5 linked regions of the Sus scrofa genome follow. The protein of the gene in region 3 purifies or fractionates together with the protein of the main gene of each other region. This does not show direct contact. Links are inferred from orthologs where the notes say so. Each region holds a gene or a part of one and is shown on either strand. Other genes may lie near its edges. The genes, in order: AKAP9, AKAP7, PRKACB, myomegalin and AKAP5.

The links.
Region 1: the proteins of PRKACB (region 3) and AKAP9 purify together in Homo sapiens (affinity purification with mass spectrometry; 5 studies listed by BioGRID and IntAct, counting the BioPlex papers as one, with this or other methods). This does not show direct contact. The link is inferred for Sus scrofa from reciprocal best matches to the Homo sapiens genes PRKACB and AKAP9.
Region 2: the proteins of PRKACB (region 3) and AKAP7 purify together in Homo sapiens (affinity purification with mass spectrometry; 4 studies listed by BioGRID and IntAct, counting the BioPlex papers as one, with this or other methods). This does not show direct contact. The link is inferred for Sus scrofa from reciprocal best matches to the Homo sapiens genes PRKACB and AKAP7.
Region 4: the proteins of PRKACB (region 3) and myomegalin purify together in Homo sapiens (affinity purification with mass spectrometry; 5 studies listed by BioGRID and IntAct, counting the BioPlex papers as one, with this or other methods). This does not show direct contact. The link is inferred for Sus scrofa from reciprocal best matches to the Homo sapiens genes PRKACB and PDE4DIP.
Region 5: the proteins of PRKACB (region 3) and AKAP5 purify together in Homo sapiens (affinity purification with mass spectrometry; 4 studies listed by BioGRID and IntAct, counting the BioPlex papers as one, with this or other methods). This does not show direct contact. The link is inferred for Sus scrofa from reciprocal best matches to the Homo sapiens genes PRKACB and AKAP5.

Annotation. Positions count from the first base shown.
Region 1 is NC_010451.4:72,051,663-72,056,776, forward strand, and holds the end of AKAP9 (A-kinase anchor protein 9), read left to right. Parts: intron 1-570; coding exon 571-721; intron 722-1,284; coding exon 1,285-1,424; coding exon of another isoform or gene 1,425-1,471; exon of another isoform or gene 1,472-2,689; coding exon 2,690-2,724; 3' UTR 2,725-3,236; downstream 3,237-5,114. UniProt on the Homo sapiens protein: Scaffolding protein that assembles several protein kinases and phosphatases on the centrosome and Golgi apparatus. Required to maintain the integrity of the Golgi apparatus. Required for microtubule nucleation at the cis-side of the Golgi apparatus.
Region 2 is NC_010443.5:32,358,651-32,364,960, reverse strand, and holds the start of AKAP7 (A-kinase anchor protein 7), read left to right. Parts: upstream 1-2,812; 5' UTR 2,813-2,959; coding exon 2,960-3,215; intron 3,216-6,310. UniProt on the Homo sapiens protein: Probably targets cAMP-dependent protein kinase (PKA) to the cellular membrane or cytoskeletal structures.
Region 3 is NC_010448.4:129,589,477-129,595,818, forward strand, and holds the start of PRKACB (cAMP-dependent protein kinase catalytic subunit beta), read right to left. Parts: upstream 4,220-6,342; 5' UTR 4,089-4,219; coding exon 3,905-4,088; intron 1-3,904. UniProt on the Homo sapiens protein: Mediates cAMP-dependent signaling triggered by receptor binding to GPCRs.
Region 4 is NC_010446.5:100,730,640-100,737,116, forward strand, and holds the start of myomegalin, read right to left. Parts: upstream 3,480-6,477; 5' UTR 1-3,479. UniProt on the Homo sapiens protein: Functions as an anchor sequestering components of the cAMP-dependent pathway to Golgi and/or centrosomes.
Region 5 is NC_010449.5:88,536,931-88,543,326, reverse strand, and holds the start of AKAP5 (A-kinase anchor protein 5), read right to left. Parts: upstream 4,390-6,396; 5' UTR 4,209-4,389; intron 4,203-4,208; exon of another isoform or gene 3,716-4,202; coding exon of another isoform or gene 3,682-3,715; exon of another isoform or gene 3,242-3,681; coding exon of another isoform or gene 3,166-3,241; intron 1,668-3,165; exon of another isoform or gene 1,454-1,667; 5' UTR 1,401-1,453; coding exon 117-1,400; 3' UTR 1-116. UniProt on the Homo sapiens protein: Multivalent scaffold protein that anchors the cAMP-dependent protein kinase/PKA to cytoskeletal and/or organelle-associated proteins, targeting the signal carried by cAMP to specific intracellular effectors.

The sequences.
Region 1 (5,114 bases), on a different chromosome or scaffold from region 3:
AGGTCAGAAGCTGGGGAGCACACAGAGTTATAGACACACAGCATAACTTGTATGTGTTGGTATTAAACCACCTTGATGTGTTCTCTGCAGAGAAAGAATAAATATATTTGGTACTCTAAGCAAATTGTTTTTGAAAAACACATCCTCATACTGAAAACAGCTAAAATTTGTACCATATATGAATTCTGTGTTGTAAGAGTAAATCTTGGTTTTGAGTTTTTCCCCAGTAAAAGTCAGTAGTATGAAAAGACTTAATTACATTAATCTAATTTTCTTTATCCACATCATCTTTTCCCCCAAACTTCACCCTAGTTAAAGCTAAGGTAAAACTAAGAAGAGGTCTTTTAAATAAAAAATAGTTTATTTTCTTTGAGGTATAGTTACTTCCAAATTATCAGAAATACTAATATTCAAGTATAAACAAAACAACACTTGTCCTCTCTTTCTCCCTGTAGCAAGAATAATTGAAAATGACAGTAAAACAGATATAGTAGTAGAGTATGGTACTCTTTTGAAGCCTTATCTTTTGTAGAAATTTTTCAAGGGCTTGGTATTTTTTTTCTTTACAAGGTACATTTTGGATTACTTTAGGTGCTGAAAAGACTGACTCATTTTATCATTCTTCTGGTGGATTGGAGCTATATGGAGAACCAAGACACACTGCGTATCGCTCAAGATCAGATCTGGACTATCCAAGGTCTCCTTTACCATTTCAGAATAGGTAAGAATTTGATAAAAACCTGTACCAATATACTAATTCTTAAGAGAAAAAGGATAGTGTTAGGGCTTTGACTGATTTGCATTAAAAGAACTAAATACCTCTTTAGTTATATATGATTTACATAACCTAAAGCTCAGAATCAAAAATAGTTTTTGGATTTGTAACTGGTTTCCAAGGGCATAGGAAACAGAGCTGATCAAGTGTTAATTGGTATATATGCTGTGATTAGACATTGGGAAAGGCATTGACTAAAATTGGTAGTTTCCAGAATTATGAAAAAAAACTCTAAAGTTTGCATAAGGTGCATTTATATGTTTGCAACATTTATTGATGGCCTTGGCAACAGGCAGTGTGCTGGACATTCTTTTGATGACTTAGTATCTGCTTCGAATTTATTGAGGAGTTTTTTTCCTTTATACATGGCAAACTCAGACATATGAGGGATATAGATGAGGCAGAGTACCAGTGGTCTACCTTTTGAAGGCAAGGTGGAGCTCGACTGGCACATTGCTTGCATTGTTTTTGGATAGTTTGGATTCATGTTCGTATTTTTTATCTCATAGGTACCCAGGCACTCCAGCTGATTTAAATCCCAGTTCTTTAGCATGCTCTCAGCTTCAGAATTATGATCCTGACAGAGCCCTGACAGATTATATCACTCGGCTAGAGGCGCTACAGAGACGGCTTGGAACTGTACAGTCAGGTACCCTCAGCTTAACCAAGTACTGGCAGCACCATGGTGCTAGATAGACCCAGAACTCTTTCTTTTCTTGAAATTCCTTGACCTTCCTCATTAGGACAATCAAATCTTAAACTTGAGTATGAGTTACCAAGCTAGATTTAGGAATTTAAGCCAAAACTTGATTTATCACCCTGGATCCCACTCTCCTGCTTATCTCATTAAGACAATTGATTAGGTGAAGTACATGATGAGCATCTATGTACAAAGTACTCTGAGACACACAGAGTTTCTGCTGGAGAATTTGCTGCCAAGTGATACATGCTGAGGCATCCAAATAAGAGCTGGGGAGATGAGAGGAGGAAGCAAGTGCTTTTTATATGTGATCCAAGAAACCCATCCTATTCAAAGGACTGTGCAAGAATGACCTTTTATTGTCTCTGCTAAAAACAAAAAAAAACAGGAAAAGGGAGGGGGAAAGAAAACCACACAAAAATTTTTTTGTACTTAGTAAATGTGGAATCCCTTCCCTTTTTATTGTGGGAAAAAACCTCTCTTCTCTGTCTCTCAATTCACTCCTGATTCAATGGTCTTGAATCATTTTAATTTAATGAGCTTTAAGTCAGTTTATATGTATGTATGTGTATATGTATATTTTCCTTTTATTAAAGACCCTTTTTTCCTACTATTCCCACAAAATAGATAGGACTAATAGCCAGTTATTTTAAATTAGTAGTTTGCCTCTTCATATAAGAAATTGTCTAACCCAAGCAACTTATAGTTGTAGGAAGCAATTATCATAGCAGGACTTGGTTGGCCTGAGCATTTATATTTCACAAGACCCAGATTTTTAAGACCAAGAGGTATTTCAAGAGGCAAGAGGTATAGAACATTCAACCTGCAGGGCACTTTACAGAGAATCTTATCATTAATCTCACTTAGCATGCCCTGGAGCCAGCCACGGTGAGTTTTGAATATATGTTCAAGGTCTCCTATTGTGTAAGCCAGCTGCTACAGCTCTGATTCCACCCCTAGCCTAGGAATCTCCATATGCCCTAAAAAAAGACACACACAAAAAAGAGTCTCTTTTAAAAATCAGTTCAATTCTGAATAAGATTATTTTAGGCAGAAAAAAGTTTTTAAAAATGGTGCCTCCTTCTGCCCTTCATGGAGTCAGACGCGCTACCATTGCGCCACAAGGTCCCTCTTCTGCCCTTTATGAACTGGTTAGTCTGATTTAAGTCACAATCTCATTGAAATCACTGAAGTATCCTATTTCTATGTTACAGGTTCAACTCAGTTTCATGCTGGCATGAGAAGATAATCCTTTGAAACATGAATCAAAGTGATTTTAAACAAATTCCCTTTTGTAAATCAATGGTTCTTTTGTGCTTTTGTATTGTGGATATTCACCGGGACCAATACAAACACAGCTTATGATTGTATACAAATCCCTTGCCAGCACATGAAAACAAACTGGATTCTGTACATATAAGCATTGTGTATGTATTCATGCACAATAATCATCAAATTACATGTATATTTGTGGAATGCTAATTTAAATGATTAAATTATAAACCTTGTGTATTTATCAAATGGGTGAAAAGATTAAACTTTTGCGCATTATGATACTGTTGAATGTGTAGCTCGAGGTGTCCTGCACTTTTCTTATAAGGCTACTGAAGTTACATGTTACTGCCTAATATATTTGCTACTGGTGATAAAGACAGATAATATCACTTGTAGAGACCTATTTTTGTATAATGGTAGAAGTTTTGGATTTTATGGGGTATTTTGTCAAGTACTGAAATAAAAATGACTTCACCATTTTAACTACACTGTATTTGAACCTTTTTTTGTTTTCATTTTTTTGGTTTTTAGGGCCACACCCACAGCATATGTAAGTTCCCAGGCTAGGGGCTGAATCAGAGCTACAGCTGCTGGCCTGCACCACAGCCACAGCAACACCAGATCTGAGCTGCGTCTGCCACCTACACCACAGCTCATAGCAACGGCTGGATCCTTAACCCACTGAACAAGGTCAAGGATCAATCCCACATCCTCATGGATACTAGTCAGGTTTGTTTCCAGTGTGCCATAATGGAAACTCCTGAACCTTCATTTTTAAGCCACAGTTCATGGTGCATGTCTTATTAGTCTGTTCAGGTCACCATAACAAAATACCATAGCCCGGGTGGCTTACAAAAACAGCAGAGATTTCTCACTGTTTTGGAGGCTAGGGAAATCCAAAATCAAAACACAGCAAATTTGATGTCTGGAGAGAGCCTGCTTTCTGACTTCCTAACTGCCGTCTTCCTGCTCTGTCCTCACATGGCAGAGGGGCAGGGTGCTCTCCCAGGCTCTTTTGTGAGGGCATTAATCCCATTTGTGAGAGATCCACCCCCAAGACTAATCACCTCTTGAAGGCCCCACTTCCAAATACCAACATATTGGGTGTTAGGTTCCAACATAGGAATTTGGAGAGACATCTCATTATTTATCTCAAGTATGTAGGACCTAGAGATTCAGAAATTTGCCCTGATTTTAGAATTGCCTACTATTGGGATTTTTCTCTCCCCACACTGAGGAAGAGTTTTTCTGTGTGCCTTCCTATCAACTTTAAGTCTACATACAGTGTTTTTTAGAAGCTGTATTAGTATTTTCATGATTAATCCACATTTGCCTTACTACGTTAGGGTTACTTGTATCCAAAGCTATGTCTTCACAAAGCCCTGCCCGCTAAGATGATGTGGAAATCATTTAATTCAAAGAATCTTCTGTTAACCACAGCGTAGCAGAATTAAGCAGTATTCTTGCTGTCTAATAGAAATTCAGAGTGAGGTGCTCTCACAGATATAATACACATCTCTATGTTACTTCTTAAGTAGCGCCCTCCCTGATAACATGGCCATCACTGAAACAGCAAGACAAATAGTATCTGATGCTTATTTCTGGAGGATTTTGTCTTAGCATTAGATATTCTATGATTTATACCAACACAAACATATTAGCAGCTGAATTCCAATTGGAGGACTTCTAAAAGTACTATATTCTAAGACCTTGGTTGAAGTGGGAAGGTTGTGAGTAAAAAGCTTTTTTTTAGCTAAGCATAGCCTCCCATTCAGGATGATTCTGCGCTAGGAGAGAATGAAAAAAGAGCAGACAGAGAAGCCTCTGCTCTGATCAGTCCCATTTCACTCCCATGGTTTGACCATCAGTCTCCTTATGACATTAGATTTCTGCAGTGAAACTTATTAATGCTTCTTAAATTAGTCTGATTAAAAACTGAATCTATTAAAGTCTTAAAACTCTACTCACTAAACACAGACTAAACACCACAGTGTTTTAACCCTTTTGTGCCAGGATGTTCTCTAGCAGTCTTGTCAAACCAGAATCCCTTCTCAGAGTAATGCTGACATAAATAATACAGACGTAAAATATATGGGATTGCCAGGGAAACCAGTTATTTAGAAAGAGACTTTATAAATTTTCTGTGGTGAGAAAAGAAAGAAGATGTAGCAGATCCAATAACTACTATAATTTCAAAGCAGTGATGAGAGTTAAAGATACTTCCAAGAGATCTGCAGCATCTATCAAAGTATCTGTGGTTTCTGTTCACAAACCACGGATACTGCTAATGCAGCTGCCTAAATTCATAAAGAAAATGTTACAGTTTGAAATTAGGACAAATGAAGATGGAACATCATGCAAGTT
Region 2 (6,310 bases), on a different chromosome or scaffold from region 3:
ATTCTATAACTCTCAGATATCCAAGTAATCTTCCTGACATCAATCACTGTGTCCCATCTACTAAGCAGTGTAACGTATGGGGGACATATTGGTCTATTCATTTATAAATGAATTGTCACCTGAGAACTGAGCAGATCCACCATGACCAAGTGAACCACCAGTCAGCTGATGTCTGGTGAGGAAAGAGGACTTCTTGGAAAGAAGACTGGACCAGTGGAGTTCAGTGAGGCAAGGCCTGGGCATGGGTCACAGCCTGAATGCTTCATTAGTGATGTCATAGTGTGGAACCTGAAATATATTTTGGAAGGATTTTACTAGGGGTTGGAGTTCTGGCTTGAGCAAATAGGTTCATTTAACTATCAAGATTTAGATGTTGGACGTCCCTTCATGGCTCAGCAGTTAATGAACCCAACTAGGATCCATGAGGATGTGGGTTTGATCTCTGGCTTCAGTGTGTTGAGGATCTGGTGTTACCATGGGCTGGAGTGTGGGTTGGAACTGGGCTTGGATTCCATGTTGCTGTGGTTGTGGTGTTGGCCTTCAGCTATAGCTCCAATTTGACCCCTAGCCTGGGAATCTCCATGTGTTGCAGGTTCGGCCCTAAAATAAAAAAAAAAATAAAAAAAAATAAAAAAATTTAGATGTTGGAGTTCCCTGGTGGCTCAGGGGGTTAAGGATCCAGCACTGTCACTGCTGTGGCTCTGGTTACTGCTCTGGCGAGGGTTCGATTCCTGGCCTGGAAACTTCCACATGCCATGGGATTGGCCCAAAAGAAAAAAGATTCAGATGTTATTAGCCTCAAGCTGGTGAAGCTTTAGGGAAATAAGATTATCCATGATATTGATTTCCTTTTCTTTTTTTTCTTTTTTTGAAATTTATCTGGGTGTGTTACTTTTTTTTTTTTTAGCAAATATGATTACAGATTTGATAGTTATAAAACTTTTATTCATTCATTCATTCATTCATTCATTCAATAAGTAGTCCCTGAACAACCACTGTGCACTTGGAAAAACAAAACAGCCTCTGCCTTCCTAGGAAATAGTGTGGTAAATAAGGGTTGTTAGGTAAGGTCTGTTATGCAGAGATTTATTCTCCTCTTCTGAACCAAGGGAGGGAAAAGCCTTTACAAGTGGAAATTCACGTCACCTTCACAAAATAAAATTTATGCCCTGCTTTTAGGCAGAAAGGAGGCAGGCAAAAATTCCTCGAGTGTCTGTTGTTTCTCAATTACTGCTAGTTCAAAATAATCTTTAATGCTAAAGTGGCATATTTTGATCCCCTTCAATGTTGACCGTGGATTTCCTTTTTGCAGCTTTTAGTTGACTAGTTATTGCAATGACTCCTGTTTCTTTCTCTGCTGTTAGGTGACCAGCTCCTTAAGAAAAAGACCCATCTTACTCACCTGCAAAACCCCAGGATGTAGTAGGCATTAGGGGAACCTGTTGTCCTTCTCCAATTAGCCAGCCCATAATTGCAATGAACCTGTCAACCAAACACTCAACTTGGTAGAATTATTTTACAACCAGATTAACGAGCTTTATGACTAGTTGTATAGGGTCTTTCTGCCAACTATTGGGGTTGTGCGCAAGTCCTTGCTTCCATGTTCAGTATAGGATGCATTCAAGATAAGGCAAGTGCTATCATTCCCAAGATAGTCTCTATTAATTTGTTGAAAGATGAATCTACTTTTCCTTGCTGATTGGCTTCTTTGCACTTAGAAAACTCCAGAAGAATTTGCTTTTAAGGGCCGCACCTGCAGCATATAGAAATTCCCAAGCCAGGGGTCTAATCAGAGCTGCAGCTGCAGGCCTACGCCACAGTCACAGCAGCCTGGGATCTGAGCTGCATCTGTGACCTACACCACAACTCACTGCAACACCAGATTCTTAACCCACTGAGCGAGGCCATGGGTAGAACCTGAATCCTCATGGATACTAGTGGGGTTCTTAACCTGCTGAGCCACAAGGGGAACTCTTCCAGTAGAATTCTGATCCAAGATCAAAAGGTTTTGTTTTTCTTTTTAAGGCAGCACCTGCAGTATATGGAACCTTCTGGGCCAGGGGGGTTGAAATGGAGTTGCAGCTGCAGGCATACTCTAGAGCAACACTGGATCCCAGCTGCATCTGAGATCTATGCCACAGCTTGCCTCCAACACCTGATCCTTAACCCATTGAGTGAGGCCAGGGATTGAACCCCCATTCCCACGGAAATTATGTCGTCTTCTTAACCTGCTAAGCCACAATGGAAATTCCCAAAGTTTCTTTTTTTTTTTTTTTAAGTAAAATTTTCCCCCTAGTTGTCAGTCCTTTAATATGCAACCACAAATAGCTGCTTTCCATTTAATTTCTAGGCATGAAACCAGGGTTAAAAATTTGAGACACTGCTACAACTTGGCTTTTTTTTTCCTTTTGGCCGCACCCCAGGCACATGGAGGTTTCTGCACCAGGGATCAAACCAGCGATCCAGATGTGACCTGCAACAAGGTCAGATCCTTAACCCCCTACGCCACAAGGGAACTTTGGCTTTTTTTTTTTTCCTTTAGTGCAAAGTAAAGATCTAATTATACAAACTGACAAGGTCTCATTCCTGCACATCTCGCTCTTTCCAAGTATTTTATAAGCAGAACGCTGTGTTTTGAAAGCTCTTTGCAAAACCAAACACATGGATTCTCAGGAGAACCCAGACCAGGGAGTTCCTTCTTTAAGGGCCCAATCTCACCCCCTCCGCACGGGAAGGAAAGGCCGGGCACTGGGAAGAACTGAGCGCAGCGGAAGACCTTAGAGGTCCCCGGCGGGGGCGGGGCAAGGAGGGGGCGGAGCGTCGCCGGGCAGAGAGGAGCCCTCTTCTCTCCCTCGCGCAGTAGTTGCGGCTTCCCCCGCCTCCCTCGCTCGCGGGAATCCGGGTACCGCGGCCACATCGGGTCGGCCCCTTCCACTCCCTCCGGGCGCGCGGCCTGGGCATGCAGCTCCTGCGGGGATTGAAGATCTGGGGGCTCGGCGCCTCCGCAGGCCTGGTCGCCGCGGCCCGAGCCCCCGCCGCCTGCCGCGGCCACCGCCCCCCGCTCCGCCCCAGCGCGCCGCCGCCCGGCCCCCAGCCCCGCCCCGCCTCCCGCCTCCGCCCCGCGCCCAGTCCCTGGCCGCAGCGCCCGGCCGCTGTCGCCGGCTGCAGAGGCCTGCCGCCCGCTAGCGCCGCCACCATGGAGCACCCCGGAGCCGGTGAGCCCGGGCGGCCGAGCGGGCCGGGTGGGGCGACTGGAGCCTGGAGGCGTGGGCCCCGCTCGGCCTCGGGGAGGGCTTGGTCTCTCCCCCAGACCTTGCAGCGCGACCCTGAGCCTGCCCTGCTCCGGGGCTCCTCTCCCGGCTCAGCGCGGGACTCAGTGTAGCCTCGAGAAAGCCGTGCACTGGGGGTGTGATCAGTGCCTGCAAGCAAGGCTTTCAGTTAGTGCACGCACTGCTGCTGCCACAGAGGCCGGGGGTGTTTCACCTTTGAAACACCCTAAGTTTCGCACCCTAAATTTCGCTTTCGTTTTCCTTTCTGAGTTTGTGACCTTTCGGAAAGTTCATGCCAACGCACACCCACCGACAGTGTTTGTGTGGCCAGCAAAACCTAGAAAAACTCCACTTTTATACTTTATCAAAATTAAAGACCTGAACCACCACTTTTAGGATTTCCTGCTAGGATTTTATTCTAAGACCCCTTTAAACTGGCGCCAAATCTGCGGTAGGGCCGGGAATTAATTTCTAGTTTAAGTCAGCATTTCCTGTGAACTGAACTTTGTGGGTAGAGCGAGGGTTAGAGGCCGAACTTTTGGTGAAAGGGACCAACAAACCGGTTAGAGAAAAGGTGCTCTTCCGTGAGATTTTTGTAGTATAAACGCTTAAAAAGGTATAAAAGGCGTGAAAATGTTATACAATAGTTTACAAGAGTTAAGAGAATGGAAAAGCGAAGACCTTGTAGGTGGATGCTGAGAGCGGGAGTTTTGAGATGGATGCGGTTACCGAAGTGAACGCATAGGGGGTTGTCAAAGAGAAAGGTTTCACATCCCGGTGTCTTGAGTGCTTTTAGTGTATGGCCAACGTTCGAATCCTGATGATGTGCCTTTAAGATGTTTGTTTGTCTTCTTACATTTCATTTCGGATATTATTGGCTTATTTTGTGTATTTATAGTGATTTGGATTGTACTTTTGTTCTCTTTCTCGTTCATTTTTTAAACGATGTGGAAACCAAAACATGGAGGTCAGGTGACTTGTTGATTATCACCCAGCTCAATATTTCTCCAGATGTAAGATGTTTCTATTTTTAGTAGCTAGGCCAAGACCAGCATGAATGATGGGATTAACCCTTTCCACTGGCTCTTGGGAAGTCTCCCTGCTGTATACCTAGTCGAGTGAATTGAAGAGAATCTTGCCTAATAAAGTTGTACTTTGTTATCCAAATAGGAAGCTTGCATTTTGTGTGACAAAGGATGAAGTATCCTTGTTTTCCCCTATTGGTCTGTGACAAAATCATTTTCTAAAATGCATGTATATTCAAATATTAGTGTATATATACTTCATGTATGGTTTTGTAATATATTTTAGATGTATGCATTAATTGTTTTTTAATGTTTTTTTAATGTACCGATGTGGCCGCGGTACCCGGATTCCCGCGGTACCCGGAAAGTAATATTAAGGAGTTCTCATTGTGGCTCAGTGGAAATGAATCTGAGTAGCATCCATGAGGTTGAAGGTTTGATCCCAGGCCTCGCTCAGTGGGTTAAGGATCCAGCACTGCCGTGAGCTGTGGTGTAGGTCACAGACACGGCTCGGATCCTGCGTTGCTGTGGTTGTGGTGTAGGCCAGCTCGGATTCCACCCCAGTCTGGGAACCTCTGTGTGCCATGGGTTCGGCCCTAAAAAGATTAAAAAAAAAAAAAAGTAATATTAATTCTATGTAAGATGTTTGGATAGCAGAAACAGGAAAAATACAAATATATTGAGTACAACTATGGCAGCATTTAGAAATAATTTATATCCTTTAGCCTTATCCTATGTAATTGCCAACATAGCACAAGTATATATAGTTTTATATGTGCTTTTTAAAAGGTTAGTGTAGGTATCCCCTGCTTTTCATAAGTTCTCATTATGCCACTTCGCTTTTACATTTATTTTATTTGTTTATTTTTATATTATTTTTTGTCTTTTTAGGGCCGAACCCACGGCATATGGAGATTCCCAGGCTAGGGGGTCTTATCAGAGCTATAGTTGCCGGCCTACACCACAGCTCATGACAACGTCAGATCCTTAGCCCACTGAGCGAGGCCAGGGATCAAATCTGCGTCCTCATGGATGTTAGTCGGGTTCTCTAACTGCTGAGCCACGACAGGAACTTCTCCTGGTACCTCTTTTGTAAGAAGAACATCATTGCCAGATCAGTTTACAGAACCGTAAACACTGTTAACTTTCCATCAGGCTTTTTGCTGGAAAGGGCAGGTTTTCGTGGTTGAGTAACTGGTTTCAAATTATAGCCCCAAGACCTACTAGCTTAGTAACCTGGGGTAGGTTACTTCATCGGCTAGTTTGTAAAATGAGTATGATAAGAATACCTCCCTGGAGTTCCTGTCGTGGCGCAGTGGTTAACGAATCTGACTCGGAACCATGAGGTTGCAGGTTCGATCCCTGCCCTTGCTGAGTGGGTTAAGGATCCTGTGCTGTGGTATAGATTGCAGACGTGGCTCGGATCCCGCGTTGCTATGGCTCTGGCGTAGGCCAGGGGCTACAGCTCCAATTCAACCCCTAGCCTGGGAACCTCCATATGCCATGGGAGGGGCCCTAGAAAAGGCAAAAAAAAAAAAAAAAAAAAAAAAAAAATACCTCCCTGATACCATGGTTAAATGGATTACTCTTGGTAAAGTGCTTCCGCTGTGCCTGGCAAATGTATACATGCTCAAATGTTAGCTGTTGTTACTGCTAGTGGTAGTTGACCAGTTTAACTTCATCTTTATAGTATGAATGCACTTAGCAGCATTACTTTTTTTTTGGATTTGTACAAAAGATAGAATTTTGTTTTAATTGGAGTTAAACCAAATTTTAAGTACTCAGAATGATAAATTTACAGTTTAAATATTTATTTAGAGGTCGGTTATTTTAAGGCAGTTTTCCAAAAGCAAAATATATATACTTCTGTAAAAGAAAGTGCAATTGTGATGGATGTGTTTAATTCACATCTGCCAGCCTTTGCTCAAACACTAGAGCTCTGGGAACTGGAGGGAGGCTTCCAGATTTAAACCCTGTTGAGAAACATTATTCTATAGAATGACCAGCAGTTCTTTT
Region 3 (6,342 bases):
ACTATGCTATACACCTGAAATTAAAACAACACTGTATTTCAACTATACTTCAATTAAAAAAAAAAAAGCTACTGAAAAAAAGTATTAGTTCTAATTAAGTGCCCAGCTCCAATAGAAAATGTATAGCAGCTACTACCTTTCTGTGTAGTAGAATAAGCACATTAACCTTTCCTGCATTGTGCTAGTTAAAATTCTTTAGGCTCTTTTAACAAAGACCACATTATACATTATTTCTCATTTTAAAAAACTGCACTGATTCCCCATTAATTATTAGAATGTAGTCCAAAATTCTGAATATGTAACAAAGCTTTCAGAGATCAAATCCACATTCTACCTTTTCAGATAGTATCTCATTATATCTTTTAAGTAAATCCTAAATATCCATATTTTCATATATATGTGTGTGTTATACTCTTATAATAAAATAACCTGTTTCTCCTCCTCTGAGTCTCAAAACTTCAATTCTTTCTTCAATATACTTGAAGGCCCCATCTTCTCTTTAGTGCTAATTTCTTCTTACACTAAGCTCCCACAGTAAGCTACTTAAATATTTTTAAGCAACCATTTCCCTATTCCTTGAATATTATGTTATCTGTATGTTTACTCTTCCTACTGTTTTTCAGGGCAAGAACTAGATCTTATGTCTTTCCAGAGCCTTCTTGATAGTCTACAATATTGTAAATCCTCAAAAATGTTTGCTGAGTAAAAACTGATGACTACCAAGATGCTTACAGAATAGTTAAAGATGAAAAAAGTAGATAAAAAGATGTGACAGGTCTTTTAGCTTTGAAGTCATAATGATACAGATTTAGTGGAGGATAATTTGAGAAAAAGAATGTGTGTGTGTGTGTGTGTGTGTGTGTGTGTGTGTGTGTGTGTGTGTGTGTGTGTGAGTGACTGGGTCACTTTGCTGTACAGTAGAAAACTGATGGAACACTGTAAACCAGCCATGACGTAAGAAATACAAATCATTAAAAAACAAGAAATAAGCATGGAAGTGAATTATCTTAAAGACAGTGTAAGCTTTGGAAAGGTAAAACTGACTAGATAAAGTAGTCTATTATAACCTGTTTAGCTTTGATTTTACCTGAAGAAATCCATATACAAAATTACTTATTTGTTCAATATACTATTTAACTCTAAGCTTCACTAATATGGATTTGTATCTGTTGGAGAAATAGCCTGTCAATTCACGGGAAAGGAGAATAGGTAAAGCGTTTGATGGTATTCATCTATTCAGTCCTTCAAATATGGTAATTAGACATTTACTAAATGTCTAATGTCCAAGATTTAAAATGTGCAAAATTTCCATCAATTTCAGCATTGTGTAATTCTACACACCATTTATGATCAAAGGAATATTTAAAAGCCAACCATAATAAATTTTTTTTGCTAGAAAAAAAACTCGAATGTCAATATTCCCATCTCCACGATGAGAATAAAAAGCAGAATTCCTTCGTGTTTTTGTTTTGAATTTCATGTATTTATGTGTGTACGGAATCAGCTGTTAAATATTTATGTTCTCAAATAGGATTTTCTGTTACTTAATTTAATAGTAAAAGATAAAATGCATGTAAGGCACCTGGAAACCACTATGTGGCCTTTTTTCTGTATTTCTTCCTCTATTTCATGTCACCACAGAAGAAACTTGGATTAAATTTATTAAATTTCACACATTCCTAAATTGGTAATTAATCTTTACTCAATAGTTCACAAACCTAATTTTTTATAAAATTGCATGTAGTTTCTGTATTTAGTTGATTTCTTAAATAGTACTTTTTGAACAAGCATAATCAGAGAGCTTATTATCAGGAGATAATACATTCCTTTTTCTTGTCAAACAAGTCAATGAAAGCAAACTGCTTTAAGTAGCTTTCAAGAATGTGGCTTGTACGAAAACTTCATATGGTCATAACTTCTTCCATAATTCACACTACGAATGAATAAAAACTTGTGTTTTCACCACAAAAACTAACCTTGGAATTTTGAAACAAAAGGATTCCTCTGTTTCTGTTGTATCTGTTTTTTCCTTTGTATCAACACATTCCATAGAAGGAAACTAGAACTTCATGCTTACCATACTTATCACTAGATATATAAAGTTATTGTGTCTGTTTTGATATTTTAGGATATGAAAGAGAATGTGGAAGAATGCTTGATTAATAAGCATTCAGTTACTCTAAGAATTCCCTATATCATGACTATTATTTGAATGGCTATCAGGTTTGAACCTAATTTCACTGTGTACAATGATCCTATTTATTTTATTTTGAGACATCACAATAAAGAAAAATGTTAACAGCTTTTATCAGTCTGTTTTTTGGTCAAAAGAAATTCTAGCTCATATTTTTAATTGCTGGATTTTAAAACATGTCTCAGAAAATGTGATAAGCCCCCACACATTTTAAAAATGGTGATAGTATAGTTCAAACATAATTTTTAATCAAAAAGTTCATGATGTTCATTTGAGATACATTTATTAAACACCCAATATTTGTAAGAACAGACATTAGCGAAACAGAAACTAATTTAGTACTGTCCTCATTCCTCATTGAATGTTCAATTAAAAGGTCCTTGAAATGCATAAAAATGTTTTCCAACAGGCCTTAGGAGGCAATTTAACAAAACAGGCAAGCAGAATGAATAGCAAATTTTTGTTGCATGATAAACTTTAATAATGTACTACTGTTTCAATATTCAACAGTTCATTATTTTGAAGATATTTGAGATTCCTTATCCAACAACTTGCAGTAGAGTAAGGATAATTATAATCAAAACCTCTAGAGTAAAAAAAAAATTGTACAAATATATATTCATTACTTTCTCCCTAAAATAGCTTGAAAAAGATGAAAAAATTCTGATGCAGTAAAAAAAAAAAAAAATTCAAATAAGTTTCTGTGGAACTATGAAGGTACTATATAAACCAAGGAGTCAATTTTGTAAGCCATTCTTGGTTTTTTGCTGCTTTTTTTAAACTGAGTTTTCTTCCTTAATTGCAGTGGACTATATATATAAACAGAAAGAAGCAAAACCTAGTTCTATCTGGTGATCGAATACACTAAAAAGGGCAAGAAATATTTTCTTTAATCAGAGTAACAAAAATACCTTGGGGAGGGTTCAAGGTGAAATGTGGAATGGTGGCACTGGTATTGTTTACATGTGAAATTTATCCTTTAAAGTACATGTCACAAAAAATTATTACATATCACTATTTCAGCAAAGCAGTAAGTTCAAACATTTTAACATGCCTGGAAAGAATGTGATGCATGCATAAACAACTTCCCCCATATGAAAACTTTTGATATTTATAATGTTATAAATATCAGATATTTATAAAAGATATTTATAACATTATAAGTACCAAAAAATCATGCTACCCATGCTTTCATATTAGAAATAATGTTTATAAAACTGAAGTTACTTTTCCACATGCATTTAAAAATAAAAAATGGCACTCACGATAAATTTTTAATTATTATTTCAAGAATTTTTTCCTTTTTGAATTTTAAGACATAAATCCAAGATATTTTAGAATAAACTGAAAATTTTTTCTTAAATGTAGGTATTTCACTTGTACATAAGAACAAAAACAAAAAAATCCCAAACAGCAACATACACTAGATATGATGTAAGAATTTTGTAGAAAAATTTCCCACTGATATTCAACTTAAATAGTCATATTTAAAAGGAAACAATGAACTATGTGATTCAGCTCAACCTAGAATCAAGTTTTTGTGGATTTTTTCAACTTCATCTTGCAAAATATCCTTGTACAAATCACAAAAAGGCAAAAAAAACAAAAAAAAAACAAAACCCAAAGTTCTCCATTTGAATCTAAAACTCCAATTAGTATTTTAGCTTCTACTTACAATGTACCATGAAAACAAAACAAAACAAAACTTACTTGATCTGTCCCATAAGACAGTATGTTCAGAGAAATGAAGGCTGTCATTTTCCAGAGTTGTTTTCTGATCATGTGCAGTACCTTTGGAGTGTCTATGAAATAATCGGCTGGCAAAACCTTCCAATTTTTGAAGTGCAGTTGTACCTGTATACTGGTTACAGGGTAGTTCTCTATAAGCTGCCATTCATGTGCATTTACACTTAACTTAAAGTAACTGAAAATATTCTCAGGAGGAGCTCAACAACTTCTTACACAGAAGCTAAGAGCTATGCATGTGTCAAACTTCCTGTTTGCAGGGTATTCAAACCACTACTGCTGTTCTGTTTCCTGTTAATATAAAACAGCACATTACCGAGCCTCTCAGCAAAACTCCTCATCTCAACTGAGCTGAAGATTTTAAAGACCTGAAATATCATCCTAAAAGGCTCTACGTTTAAGAGTGTTTTATATTAATACACAGTTACTGAGACTATTAAATATAAAGTTTTATTATAGATAGTAAACTAAATATTTTTTTTAAAAAAAGAACACTAGTTAAACATGTATTACAACTCTGTAAACATCTGAAGGCCAAATCACTCTCCAAATATATGTTACAAATGTTTTTTTTTTTTTCTTTCCAAGAAATCGGCTATAGATTTTATGAATCCTTATAAGTAGTTAACTTTCCACTGAAAACTGGTATGGAATGGATATTATAAAACACTTGCAAAACAAATTTATAACATAACTTTCAAGTTAAAAAATCTGAACTAGCACTTAAAAAAAGAACTCAATGTTGCTAATCCACTGACTTAAATCTAATATATACAGGAACTACAAAAACTTAGTATGTCATTATTATTCATCAAACATAATCTGACAGGTGCCTATCAGCAGTACACTTTAAAACATTGTAAAATTTTTTTAAAAAAGATTAAAATTATATAAAATCAGCCACAGTAAGAAATTTCAATTAAGAGGAAAAAAAATCCTTCTAATTGTCTGAGACATGTTAATTTTTAAGTTTAACACTAAGGACTACTGCTCACCCATCCCCTGATTTAGAGAGTTTTACTTGGAAAAAGCTGTTTTGGTTAAAGCAAATTGTCCATTTATAGGAAAAAAGTAACATGTGACATTTAACAATGATTTGGAGTACCTGCCTTCTCACACTAATTAAAGGATAAGAAATTTCTCTTTGGAAGCTTTAAATAAGGGAAAGAAGGATGGCTGGATGGATGGAAAGAAGGAAGGAAGGTACGGAGGGAGAGAGGGATTTAAAAAAATCTATCTAGAAAAATCTTGGTCTAGATTTCCTGCCTACTGCTTAAAAAATAAAATAAATATAAGCATTAACAATAAATACAATAAATAGGAATAACAATGTAATCAAATAGGACACACAACACACATGCACCTAGGAAACACTGACTAATGAATTTTGTCAAATAACAGCTCATTTGTGTATTTTTTTTTGTGTAATAAAATTAGCATCAATCTAAACAAAGAGGCAACTGTACCTGTAAGATCAAACTTCTTAAATTTGTGGTTTTCTGATAAATGTGTTATATAATAACAATTTATTAACATCTGACTTTGCACCAGACACTGAACAGGTGTCTACAATCTTTAGTAAACATCTGCAGAGTATGAACTGACTCTGTATGAGCATAAGTAGATAAAATTCCTGAATTCTTTGACTTGCTCTCTTGGAAGAAATTCTATTCATCCTTAAGGCTCATCTCTTCAATGACGTTTCCCACATACTTCCTAGAAAAATAAACTGCTCTCTCTCCTTTTTCCAATGATCTTATAATTTTATGTTAAAATCTGCTGCTTATAAATTTGTCTCAAATTGTGAGTTACTTGAATTCATAAATACAATGAATGTATTACATACTCAACATACAGTGAAGTATTCATTCATTTTTAATAAATCAAAGGTCTAAGTAGAATCAAACATTTGAAAATGTTTTAATTTTGAGAGGACCATATTTGTAAATTACCCAACAATCACCTAGTTGTTCATATACAGAGTTAACAGCAATAAAAGTGATGCCATTTAACTTTTTTCTCCATATTCAGTCAGCTACTAAATTTTACTCAGTCTTTGAGAATTTCATTTTTATTAGTGCAAATGTGGATTTCTAAAATAACTTGTCTTCTCTACTTCTAGCTAATCCTTTCAGTCGTCTCTGACATATTAACCTCCCCCAAATATCACACTCATATATTCCTTTGCCAAAAGCACAAAACTAATCTCATATTTCAGGCCCATTATTCATTTTTAACATGTCTAGACTTACATTCAGTGTTACTTGACTTAGTACAGATATTCCAGATTTCTAATTAGAACACTAAGATTAATTTATTTAAATCAATGTATAATAAGCCTTATAAAAATTAGTAGAGCAGGAGTTCCCGTCGTGGCGCAGTGGTTAACGAATCCGACTAGG
Region 4 (6,477 bases), on a different chromosome or scaffold from region 3:
TTCTAAAATTTCACTGAAAAAGCGCACCAGTTCCCTCACGGATCCTTCCGCCCGCTTCTGCGGGATGTTCCGAGGCTCTGCGTGGGGAGGAGTAAGCTGAATCCCCTCCCCCTCACTCCACGGGTAGTGCCACGTACTCTGGATGGAGCAGCCTGGCAGCACCACTAGGTACCGCTGCGCGCCGCCTCCCTCCCGCCTGCTGCCCCACCTCCTCTCCCTACCCAGTCTGGTCCCTGGATTAAAAGGCCCTGGGGCTTCAGCAGCGGCGAAGGAGAAAGGGTTGATAAACCAGAGGGAGCAGGTAGGGCGGATATTAGGAGGATCAGTTCAGCCTCTCCCTGTCGGGAGTATCTGGAAAAGAGGACAAATGCTTCTCCCCACGTGATCTTGGGGTTGCGTTTAGCCTCCTGCATGATTTGCCCTTTTTTAGAAAAGAAATAGCACAAAGCAGTCACCCGAGAAAGTCCAACAAAAACCACATAAATGCAGCTGGTTAACCAAGATTTTGAAGATAACAGAGAAAATGAGCTTTTTCAAGAATGTAAACATCTGAGAGTAGATTCCCATCACCAAGTCCTCTTTCAGGTTCAGGTAGACTTCAGGCCTTCTTTTAGGGGTGGGAAAGGGAGACAAACACTAGAACAAAAGGCTTGTTTATTTGAGCAAGCAGTTCCTAGTGTTGGGGAGTGCTGCAATCTGTAGAAGTGGGGCTGAGAATTTCACTGACTTCACTTAGTATCCTGTATTATTCAACATTATCCAGTAGTAAGACACCCACCCTTGGGTGTAGAACTTGGAATGCACGCAAAGAAAGGAGGGAAACTGGAATTCTGTCTAGGTGAAACTGAGGTGTCAACGTCCACTTACAATAAAAAACTCTCTCCCTGGCTTGAGAGGTATCCAGCTTCCAGATGGAAAGGAAAACGGACCCAAGTAATCATTTCCCCAGAGCAGAACATTTATTCCCCAGTTACAGTAACCCTAGATTTCACTAACTTGACCTTGTAAAGTCAGCAACAGTCATAAATATTTCTGAATCTCATCTCCAGGACAGAGCCCACGCTTCTAAACCTGGAGACATTCAGATACTTTTTTTTTTTTTTTCCTTTTTTTGCTTTTTAGGGCCACACCTGCCTCACATGGAGGTTCCCAGACGAGGGGTCTAATTGGAGCTACAGCTGCTGGCCTACATACACCACAGCCACAGCAACAGCAACGTGAGATCCGAGCCATGTCTGCGACCTACACCACAGCTCAGGGCAAGGCTGGATCCTTAGCTCAGGACAAGGCTGGATCCTTAGCCCAGTGAGCGAGGCCAGGGATCAAACCCACAACCTCATGGTTCCTAGTAGGAATCATTTCTGCTGCACCACAATGGGAACTCCTCAGATACTTTCAATGAAAGCTCATAATAAACCCCCAAACTTCTTATTGAGGATTAAACGAGATGATTTGGGGGAAGTGCTTTAACAGAATTTGGCTCACTAAATAATAGTTAATATTATTTTAATATTATAATAATGGGACTATTTTAAAGTAATTTTAAAGTTTGATGGGGGCTCTGCACATATGAAGTTTTATTGCTCTTATTTAATCATCAAGACAACATCTTATCAGCTCCATCATGAGAGATAAGGTCAGTCCTTAGAGCTTTGGGTTTAGTAGGGTACAGAACTTCACATCTGTGATTTCACCTAAATGTGTAGTTCTGACCCCCAAACCAAGAAGGTAAAATAGAGTTCCAAGTAAAACTCACTACAGTGATAAATGAGCTTCGGAGTCAGAAGAAATTAAGTAATAATCTTTGGAATCTATAGTGCTGTACAGAGAGGCAAAGAGTTTCTGGACTTCCACGTCACTACCCTGCCCTACCCTGTCTTAAGTGTTGTCCTAAAGAACAGCAAGGACTCAAAAGACCAAAAACTGCAAATTAAGACATTAATCGAGGCCTCATCTTTGTTAATGCAAGCCATATTTTCCCAATGGGGAAAATGCTAATGAAACAAAGTGCTCTTCAGGAGCAAACTCTAAACAATACTTTGTATTATTCTCTATTACTTAATAAGATTTTGCATCTAACTTGCAGCCTCTAGACTTTAATGACAGTATATAGCTAGTTGACATACAAGTCAGTACTAATGGAGAAAAGGCAATTTCCCATCAAACAATATGTTTCTTCAGTGGTAAAGATCAATATAAATAATTTTAAAAAATGGTAAAGGTCAACATACTGAAAGAGAGCTATACATATCTAGGCTTTCAACAACAGACAGGAATAAATCATTCAACAATCAAAAAAAATCTGAAGATAGCACTCTTCACTCTCAGAGAAAATATTTAGATCATATCTCAAAACAGATAGTAGACTACTAGAACTACTCCTAAAGTGATCATTTGGTATTATAAAAAGATCATTTTTGTATAATAAAACTTGGAAAGAAAAATTAAAAAATGAAGAAAAATTATAAAGTAACAATTCAGTACTTTATGATTCTTATCAATATCGTCTTGGTCAAGATTTTGTATTTGGTTAACACTGGCTACCTATGGGGAGGCAAGCAAAATAGGGAGCTGAACAGGAACATTTACTTTTATTCTATATATCATGTATCATTTGAATCTGGGGCATGAATCTATATTCATATATTATTTTTTAAATGCTTTAAGGTTAGGAAATATTCTATAGTTAAAATGAAGAACTGTGCCAATTTAAGACTTAGAGTCTAAGTGGTAAATCTTGAACCTAAAATGAGAATTTTTCTAAAATATGATATATATATTATATATGTGGACAACTTATATAAACAAAGGTTCACAGGGATATACAAGTTACTAAATCATGATTATGTCTGGAGAGTAGGATTATGGATACCTTTCTTCTTTCCTCATTTGTATTCTATAATTTTCTATAATAAGTATGGATTGATTTGTGATAAGAAAAATATTACTAAGAAAAAGGTAGGATAAACACATTTTCATATATTCACATAATGTAATATTAACCACCAATAAAAAAGAATGAATTCTGATATCCACAACATGAATGAATCTCAAGTGTCTTATGTGAAACAAGCCATTTCAATACATCCTGTGTGATTTTTATTTGTCTAACAGTTTAAAGTCTAACAATTTCTATAATGATAGAAATTCCAAAAGTGGTTATGGGGGGTGAAATAAGGTGAGAATTGGTTACAAGAGGGCACAAAGGAACTTTCTGGACTGATTAAAATGTTCTATTGTTTTGGGTGATAGTTACATGGATGTGTACAATTTTTTTTTTTTGTCTTTTTTTGTCTTTTTGCTATTTCTTTGGGCCGCTCCCGCAGCATATGGAGGTTCCCAGACTAGGGGTCTAATCGGAGCTGTAGCCACTGGCCTACGCCAGAGCCACAGCAACGCGGGATCGAGCCGCATCTGCAACCTACACCACAGCTCACGACAACGCCAGATCCTTAACCCACTGAGCAAGGGCAGGGACCGAACCCACAACCTCATGGTTCCTAGTCGAATTCGTTAACCACTGCGCCACGACGGGAACTCCGGATGTGTACAATTTTAAAGCTCACTGAAAATGCTTTTTCTGTAGATTTTATCCGTTGGTATAGTTCAATTTTAAAAGATTAAAAAGGTGTAAATAATTATAAAAATATATATAGCCCACAAAGTTTAATCTGAGGGATTAAAGTAACCCTCATTCTATCATAAGAATAGCTTTGAAAATTGGGAAGATTAAAATATAGCCCAGAAGAAATTTGATGAAATGTTCAATTGTGACTTTAAATTTTCATAGTTTCTATCCAATGATCTTGGAAAATATTATTTTATATACATATACACACCACACATTTATTTATTTATTTTTTTGCTATTTCTTTGGGCCGCGCCCGTGGCATATGGAGGTTCCCAGGCTAGGGGTCCATTCGGAGCTGTGGCTGCCAGCCTACGCCAGAGCCACAGCAACGCGGGATCTGAGCCGCATCTGCGACCTACATCACAGCTCACAGCAATGCCGGATCATTAACCCACTGAGCAAGGCCAGGGATCGAACCCACAACCTAATGGTTCCTAGTCGGATTCGTTAACCACTGCGCCACGACAGGAACTCCCCACACCACACATTTATAATAGAAACAAAAAACATATTGTTAAGGTGAGACATAAGGCTTTTGTGATGATTTAGAACAAAATAAATACTTCTAAAACTTATCAGAAGTACATAACAAGGGAAAATTTTACTGAGAACAAGTTTCATATTATGATAACCTATAATGAATTAGACAAATGATTAATTTTATATACATGCTTTCTGCCCTCACAATGGATTGATAAGTGCATTCATAAGCACGTGTCTGCTATCTGTCCTAAGTCAAATCGCTTATATCGGGCCCTTAATTTCCTAACCTACAAAATAAAACAATTAATTTAAACAGTGGGTTTTAGTCTTTGGCATGCATCAGAATCACCTGGAGGGTTTGTTAAAGATTTAACAAGTTTTAATTCAGTTATTCTGAGAAGGGGTCCAAGAATTTGCATTCCTAGAAAATTCCTGGGTCAAGCAGCTGCTGCTGAGAACCAGACTTTGAAAACTACTGAATTAGAACTCTCTTATTAAACTGTATTCAGACAAATCTTGCCAAAAGATCAAAGTTCTGCAGATAAATGGAAAACCAATTAATAAAGAATTACATACAAAATTGTTGAATTTAGAGAACTATCTTCCCATTTGGAACAAGATTCCTAAGTATTACTATAACAGGGATCTTTTGCACTATCTCTATTTTGATCTCTAGATTTTGGGCCCTGGGAAGATTCTCCTAAAAGCATAACTACTTTTGTACTCACTCTGTTGTTGTGTTTCTAAGACCTAATAATTCTGATCTGGGAGGGAGTTTCCAAGAGATGGAAAATCCCCATGTCCCAAACCAGTTGTATTAGGTTTCATTACCCTAGTTATGGCATTGGAAACAGCTGTTCTAATTACTAAAAACTATGCCAAAAAAAAAAAGTGATTCTGGCAGAGAATCTAAAGCAAATGAGGAAATACAAGAATGTAAAAATAAATGCAGTTAGGCTTTATGGTAACACCATAAGCATGTGCACGATTTTCCTCTGCTGGTTGGAAATCTTTAAGAAGCCAGAAACAATCATGCTTTGCGTTAATTGATAACAATATTACAAAATACTTGTTTTAAAACCAGATTTCCTGTTCAAGTACAGATTGCAGTAATATGGTTATCAGAAGAATTAATCTTAAAATAGTAAACGTTTGAGTCTCTCAAGTTATTAAATATCCATAGCTATTTAAATAAATTTCAAAATATTTGTTAAATGACATAAGACATGACACCATAAAACTCCTGATAGAGAGCTTAGGCAAATCATTCTCTGACATAAATTGTACAAATGTTTTGTTATGTCAGTCCCCAAGACAATAGAGATAAAAACAAAAATAATCAAACTTACAAGCTTTTGCACAGCAAAAGAAACCATTAAAAAAAAGAGAGAAAACATACGGAATGGGAGAAAATATCTGCAAACAATGCAACTGACGAGGGCTTAACCTCCAAAATATACAAACACACATACAGCTCAACAACAAGAAAACAACCCATTCAAAAATGGGCAGAAGACCTAAATAGATATTTCTCCAAAGAAGACATAGAGATGACCAGTAGGCACTAAAAAAATGCTCAACATCACTAATTACTAGAGAAATGCAAATCAAAACTACAATGAGGTGCCACCTCACACAGGTCAGAAAGGCCAGAAATAATAAATGCTGGAGAGGATGTGGATAAAAGGAACTCTTCTATATTGTTGGTGGGAATTTAAGTTGGTACAACCACTATAGAAAACAGTATGAAGGTTCCTCAGAATTACCATATGATCCAGCAATCCCACTGCTGCATGTGTCTTTTTGATAGCAGCATTATTCACAATAGCCAAGACATGGAAACAACCCAAATGTCTATTAACAGATGGATGGATTAAGAAGATGTGATATAGGAGTTCCCGTCATGGCACAGTGGTTAACAAATCCGACTAGAAACCATGAGGTTGCAGGTTTGATCCCTGGCATTGCTCAGTGGGTTAAGGATCCGGCATTGCTGTGAGCTGTGGTGTAGGTTGCAGACGCAGCTCAGATCCTGTGTTGCTGTGGCTCTGGCGTAGGCCAGTGGCTACGGCTCCAATTAGACCCCTAGCCTGGGAATCTCCATATGCCAAGGGAACGGTCCTAGAAAAAGCAAAAAGACAAAAAAAAAAAAAAAAGATGTGATACACACACACACACACATACATTACTCAGCATTAAAAAAAAAGACAAAATAATGCCATTTGCAGAAACATGGATGCAACTAGAGATTATCACCATACTGAGTGAAGTAAGTCAGAAAGAGAAAGACAAATGCCACATGTCACTTATAAGTGGAATTTAAAATATGGCACAAATGAACCTATCTACAAAACAGAAACAGA
Region 5 (6,396 bases), on a different chromosome or scaffold from region 3:
GACCTTTAAATTCCACAGATGCTAAATCTCTCATTTGTTACTGAATAAGGAATGCCACAAATATGTAAATAACTCACCATTAAGCTTTTCTTTCCTCCCATGATCTAGAAATTAAATCACTGTACAAGATTGTTTATTGTATTATCATCAGAGGCCATTTCATTAACCAGCTGTTCTATAGACAACTGGATAGCATTCTTGACAAGAGAAGAAGCTGTTTCTATTAAGAGTGTTTCATATTGTTCTGAAGTTCTACCCTCAAAGCCACTATCATTAGCAAAAACCCCTACTTGCTCACTTTCAATTGAAATTAGGAATTGCTTAGGGACATTTTTAGCTTTCTTAACATCAAATTCACTGATTTCAGTGTCTGTGATAATAATAGCAATTGGCTCCATTCTTTTGCTTTCTTCTGGTTTGGGTTTTTCTGCAGTGATCTCATTTTCTTGAAAATCTGATTCCTGGCTCAATTCAGTATCTTTTGGCTTACTCTCCTCAGCTACAATCTCTCTACTTTCGTGGTCTTTCCAATCTGGTCCACTTTCTAGGATACTGCTTCTGGCTTCTTCCACAATTTGTTGATCTGGGACTGCAGGTAAGGGAGGAACATCAGAAACCACTGGGAGGGGATGTTCTATGTCTGAGGTTTCCAGTGGGCTCCCTTGCTGAGGATGAATGCTTGGTTTTTCTTCAGTCGTTTCAATATCTTTTTCAAGGATTAGCGTTCCGGTTGGAATAGCAGAATGCCCTGTACCTAACTCAAGTTCTACTGAAATCACTTTTTCTCCAGGAGAAGTTATGCTCTTGTTCACATTTGATTCACAGACCTCATCACCATCTTTCTGTGAGACATCTTCCCTTATATCCAGAGTTGACTTGGTTTTTGTTGCCTGGTCATCCAACTGGACTGGAGTTTTTATATCCAAACTTTCAGCCTCTTCCTGGACTTTAATGCTGCAGTCTGAGTCTTCTATAATTTTGGAATGATTACTTCTTTTCCCCCCTTTTGAGAATTTTATGCAGGGAATCTTGAGTCTGGATTTTGCCTTTTTCTTAGAAAGATCAGCATCCTTGCTTTCAGGCTGCACTTTAGCCTTACAGGGCTTTTGCTGCTTTGAAGAATCTGATCTTTTCCTGCATGTTATAAGGCGTTTGACTGAAACCCAGGCTCCCCCTGGGGGCTGTGGCTGATCAGAAGCTCCCGCTTCTGGGGGAAATTTCCTTGCTGCCTCAGGAGCATCAGAGCCAGCTTTGGGCTTCCTTGCTTTGGTTGCCTTCTTCCTTCTCTTGAAGCAAAGCATCGATGCTTTTTCCTCCTGCCTCTCATCCTGAGGACTAACTTCTGCTGATCTCTTCTCATCCTTGCTTTCTACTTGTATTTCAGAAACTGTGGTCTCCATTTTGACATTATATCTTTCTTTCTCTAGAAACTATGCCTCTCTTCCTTAGCAGCCTTTTATGACAAAAAAAAAAAAAAAAAAAAAAACACACACTAAATAAAATTTCTTCCAGATGGAGTCACTCCTTTTGTCTTACTCCATGGTTATTTTAGGTGGTTTCTCCAGTTATACAAATACCTAGTTTCTCTATTACTTGTAATTTCTGTCTTTAATTTCTTCATGAAAGCCCTTTTACTGGATATATTTTTGCTTTATTTAACGATCAACCTGACAAGAGAAAACAGAGTGGTATTTTATTTCACCATCAGCCTGCTGTTTTCTGTAGAGACTATGATTCTACCAGGCATGTTTCCCATATAATAACTTACCAAAATGACCGGAGAATAAAAATTGGGGTTTACTTTTGCCCTATCCAAAAAGATTTCAGCATGAATTTATTTTGCTCTCTTTGTTAAAACTTCATTTTGGATTACTCTGCAAATCTGATATTATTTTATCAATTCTGTAGTTGTGCTGTCTTTATGAACTGTTTATGACTCTGAATCGAAAGTTGACAAAAACCACCACTACCACCACCAAAAAACAATAAAGGGCAGGGTGCTGGGCAAGCTAAATTTTATTACATCCAATAAGGAGTTCTGAAGTTGCAAAGGATCTTAGAGATCATTTGAGATTATTCAGATCCAGCCAGATGAAGAAACTGAGCTCCAAAGTGGGCAGCTGGCCCGCTAAAAGCCACACAGTTAGATGAGGTCATAGCCAGAGTTAGAACTGAAGACTTTAACTCTCTGATGTTCTTTCCATTATACCATAAGGTTTCTGTTCTAAAAATGTATATTCCATGAAGGAGGTGCTACTTTTCATACATGCTCTTGGGAAATTTAACATTACTGTCATTCTCCACTCTTAAATTTGTTTGTATAACTTTGACATTTTTTTCCTAAGTATCTGCTGTTTAAACATTTTCCATAACGAGCACGTAACTGAAGATCAGAGTGAATGATAACAGTAGTTGACATTTGTTGAGCAACTCCTGTGTATTAGGAAGTGCTAAGCCCTTTTACACACATCTCTAATCCTCCCACATTATAGAGTAGGTGGTGGTATCACCATCTACAGATGAAGAAATTGAGGCCCAGAGCGAGGTTAATTTGCTCTAGATGAGCTAGTCAATAACAGAGCTCAGATTCAACCCAAAATTGCTTGTTTCTGAAGCCCATCCCCTGAAACTGGGCTTTAGGATTTTCATCAGAAAAAAATGACGTTTTTGGAGATGCTAATCTGCACCAAACTCACTAGCCCGAAAATTTAAAGATTGTTCAGTGGTCATGTAACCAGGATGCAGCCCATCAACTCATAGCTGAAGCAAGAGTAGACTGAGTTCTTGCCATTTTAAAATCAAGCTTTTGAAATTCTTTATATTTTCTTGGTTCTGGAACTAATCTAAAAGCCAAAAATAAATAGATAAGTTGTGCAACTGACAAACTGATTATACATAAACATAAAGGTATATTTTAAAGTTAATCCACAAGATGGTATGATAGTACCAGAGAACAGAGAAAGGAGGTGACCACCTAACAGAAATCCTGTGGATTTTAGTTTATGGATGTCTGAAGATAAGCAAAGGGAATCTTTCTTTGTACTTTTAAAAAAATGTAAATCCTTCACTGTTGAAGGTTTATTTGGGCAACTCCTGATTCCATGAACCACAGAAGGAATTGGAACTCTGAATATCAGTTCATGATGTAAGCAAATATTCCCTTAGGTCGGGTGATACATACTCCATTGCCTCCGACAGAAAGACAAAGCCATCCTACAACCATGATGGAACTAAAATATGAACATTTAACAGTGTCCCTCTAAACATGATACACTAGAACCACAGCTAATTATAGCTCTTTGTCTCCGCACCTCTTATGAATCCTCCCACCTGAGTGTTTTTTTATTAACCGGAGGGATGTATACCTAATAGAAATGCTGATATTAGATCATTTAGGAATGTGTCATTTGAAACTAACTTGGATTGCTCAAGGACAATTGCTTGAGAAGCTCACTGGAATGTATACCAAGATGTAGAACTACAACAGATATCCAAACAAAACCTAACTGAAAGGGGGAGAATGCAGTCTGTGGCTATTAAAACTTTGCGGAACATTAGACTGCAAATGATTCGTCCTTAACCTGCAGAAGTAGTTTTATTGCTCCAGGAAGCTGTAATTTCCTGATAGAATCGCAAGTCTGCTGCCACTGAAAATACCCCTTGCCCTTTTCCCGTGAGCAGAGAAGCACGGAGGCAAAGAGCAGCCACTTCCTGAGAAAAGCGGTGCATCTCTCCCCGCGCCAGGTGTGGGCCACACGAAGCTTCCTTCAGGAGGAAGGCATCTCTCATTCGGCTTGACGCGCCTTATGGCAGGAGCTAGAGCGCAGGATAAAGTACTCAAAAAGGAAAGTGCTGGGGCGGGGAACAGCTAATCCAGCTTCAAGCTAAATGTACAATTATAATGGCCAGGAAGCCCACACCGCATTCGCCCCGAAAAGGGCAAGGAAGGAAAAAAGCTACCAGCTACACAAGCCCCCAGGACAACTCAAACGCGGGGAGGGCAGGTGGGCAGAGTGATGAGGGTCGTACTGAGTGGAGATGTCTGCGGACAAACACCTTCCCCCGTTGTTACCCCGGCCACCTTCGGGGCCCCAGATTCCCGGTGGCCAGCGGGCACCTCCCGCCCACTCCGCCACGCGGGCGGTCGGCGGACCGGACACCGGCCCCGCGCCCTCTTTCCTCACAGCCTCATCGCCCGCTTCACTTACCGAGGGCGCCGGGGTCCCTGGACAACGCTGCCGCGGAGGTCGCGGGGGCGCCCGCGGGGCCGGCGGGAAGGCAGCGGCGCACCGGGAGCGAGCAACCCTCTGCAGAGGGACCGCAGCCGGGCGACGCCCCCTCCCCAGAGCGCGGGGACCGACAGCTGGAGGCACCAATGCGCGTGGAGCAGGCGGGCGCGGGGCGGGGCCCGGGCTGGGGGCGGGGGCGGTGGCCCGGGGGAGGGGCGGGGGGGGGACAGGAGGTCCACCTGCGGGTGAGCCCAGCCCCGGGCGTGGGACCTTCGCGCGCCCAGCCAGGCGGCAATCTTTTAGGCGCGACCACATCCAGGCAAGGGCCGGGGGCCACCGAGAGAGATGGGGAGGGGACCAAGGTCGTAAGCCTTCCATTTTCTCAGATGCAAAGTAGCAAAATCCAATTTTAAACTATGGGCACTCACATCATAAATCCCCCCACTGAATATTTAAAGTCACAGCAGATATCACATTTTAAAAGTAGGATTCAGATCTGTGCAGAGTCAATCTCGTTTGAAAAGAAAAATTACCTATATGAATAGAGAAAATAAAACTTTTCCAGGAATGGGTTTGGGTGTAATGCACTTATCACGGTTCCCTGCCAAAGGTTCTCAGAGGCCCAAGACACAGACCCTTGTCTCCTAAGAATCTAGGAGGAAGGAAGAGATGATGCAAACTGTGTGATATCGATGTCAGAAGGGCACAGAAACACAGCCCCCTCCCTCCTTTACATCTTGTATATTTCCAGGATTCAGTCGATTACAAGTTACCCGTTTCCCTTACATTCCTAGGTGTCTGCTTAACCTTGTCCCTCTCAAGTACAGCGCGGGGTGAGGGTTAGGGGTTTAAAACATGAGTTGACTTTCCTCACAATTCTAGTACAGACCAGAGCAAAGGGCACTGGCAATATTCACTCTCTGTTTGGCTAGGCTGTGTTATTTTCACACATTTTGAGAGTCTTTATCTAAGCAAGTTCCCAGTCATAGTGAAAAGCACCATAAGCATTGATTTGTATACATAATCCACTGTATATAGTGGATTAGCACCAATGAAAGGTGTTGCAGTGAGAGTTTAGGGTGACTTGCTTTGGGCTTAATATTACCTACAAGGGCATTCCTGGGAGCCTCTATGGTGAGGTCCTGCAGGATGCACAATTCCTGCCTCCTCCTCTGGCCCCTCCCAAGCATACTATCTAGATGAAGAAGCTATTAAGGCAGAGGGAAGAACTATGAAAAGCAGTTGTACTTATCTCTTTTCTTCAATAGGACCATGAGCTTTGAGAGAGTAAAGCTCTTACCCACTTTTGGATGCTTATCCAGGAATATAGTTTACCTTTGTAAGATTCTTTATTAAGGAAAGAACTATTTACACAATAGCAAAGCTGAATCTAAGCTGTCAAGATCCTAGAGACAAGCGCTATAAAACAGGAAAATCCCTAAGCACCTATAGTAGAGATAATTAAGAATTCAATTTATCTTTATTTATTCAGCTAACACCAGTCTGTGTACATCTCCTTTATATCCCCAGATGAGTTACTAACCCTGCTTACTGCCAGATTTGAACTCTGAACAAGCCAAAAGAAATCCATGCCATTCATAACCAACTGAGATGCTCTTACTTACTAAGTACAAGTTTTCTCAAATCTAGATCTGGGAGTTAGCTACAATTTCAGGCAAAAATAAGATGAGCTTATCTAAATGAAGACAGAGTAGAAGAGCTGTCTTTATTAGAAAATAATTGGGAATGAAATAAAGGACAGGTTAAAATAATAAAGGCCATTTTAACAACTTGTAGATCTTATTCCACTTGTTTTCCTTTCTTTTTTGGGTCCCACTTGTGGCATATGGAAGTTCCCAGGATATAAGTCCAATCGGAGCTGCAGCTGCTGATCTACACCACAGTCACAGCAGCACAGGATCTGTGCCTCATCTGCAACCTATATCACAGCTGACGGCAACGCCGGATCTCCAACCCACTAATCGAGGCCAGAGATCGAACCTGTGTCCTCATGGATACTAGCTGGGTTCATTTCTGCTGAGCCACAACAGGAACTCCTCCATTTGCTTTTCTTAAAACAAAACAACTAAAGAATGGGAACCGAAGGGTACTCTGAAGAGGTGAATTGATTTTGTATTTGAAGGGCAGATTTCTTTAAGCTGTATTC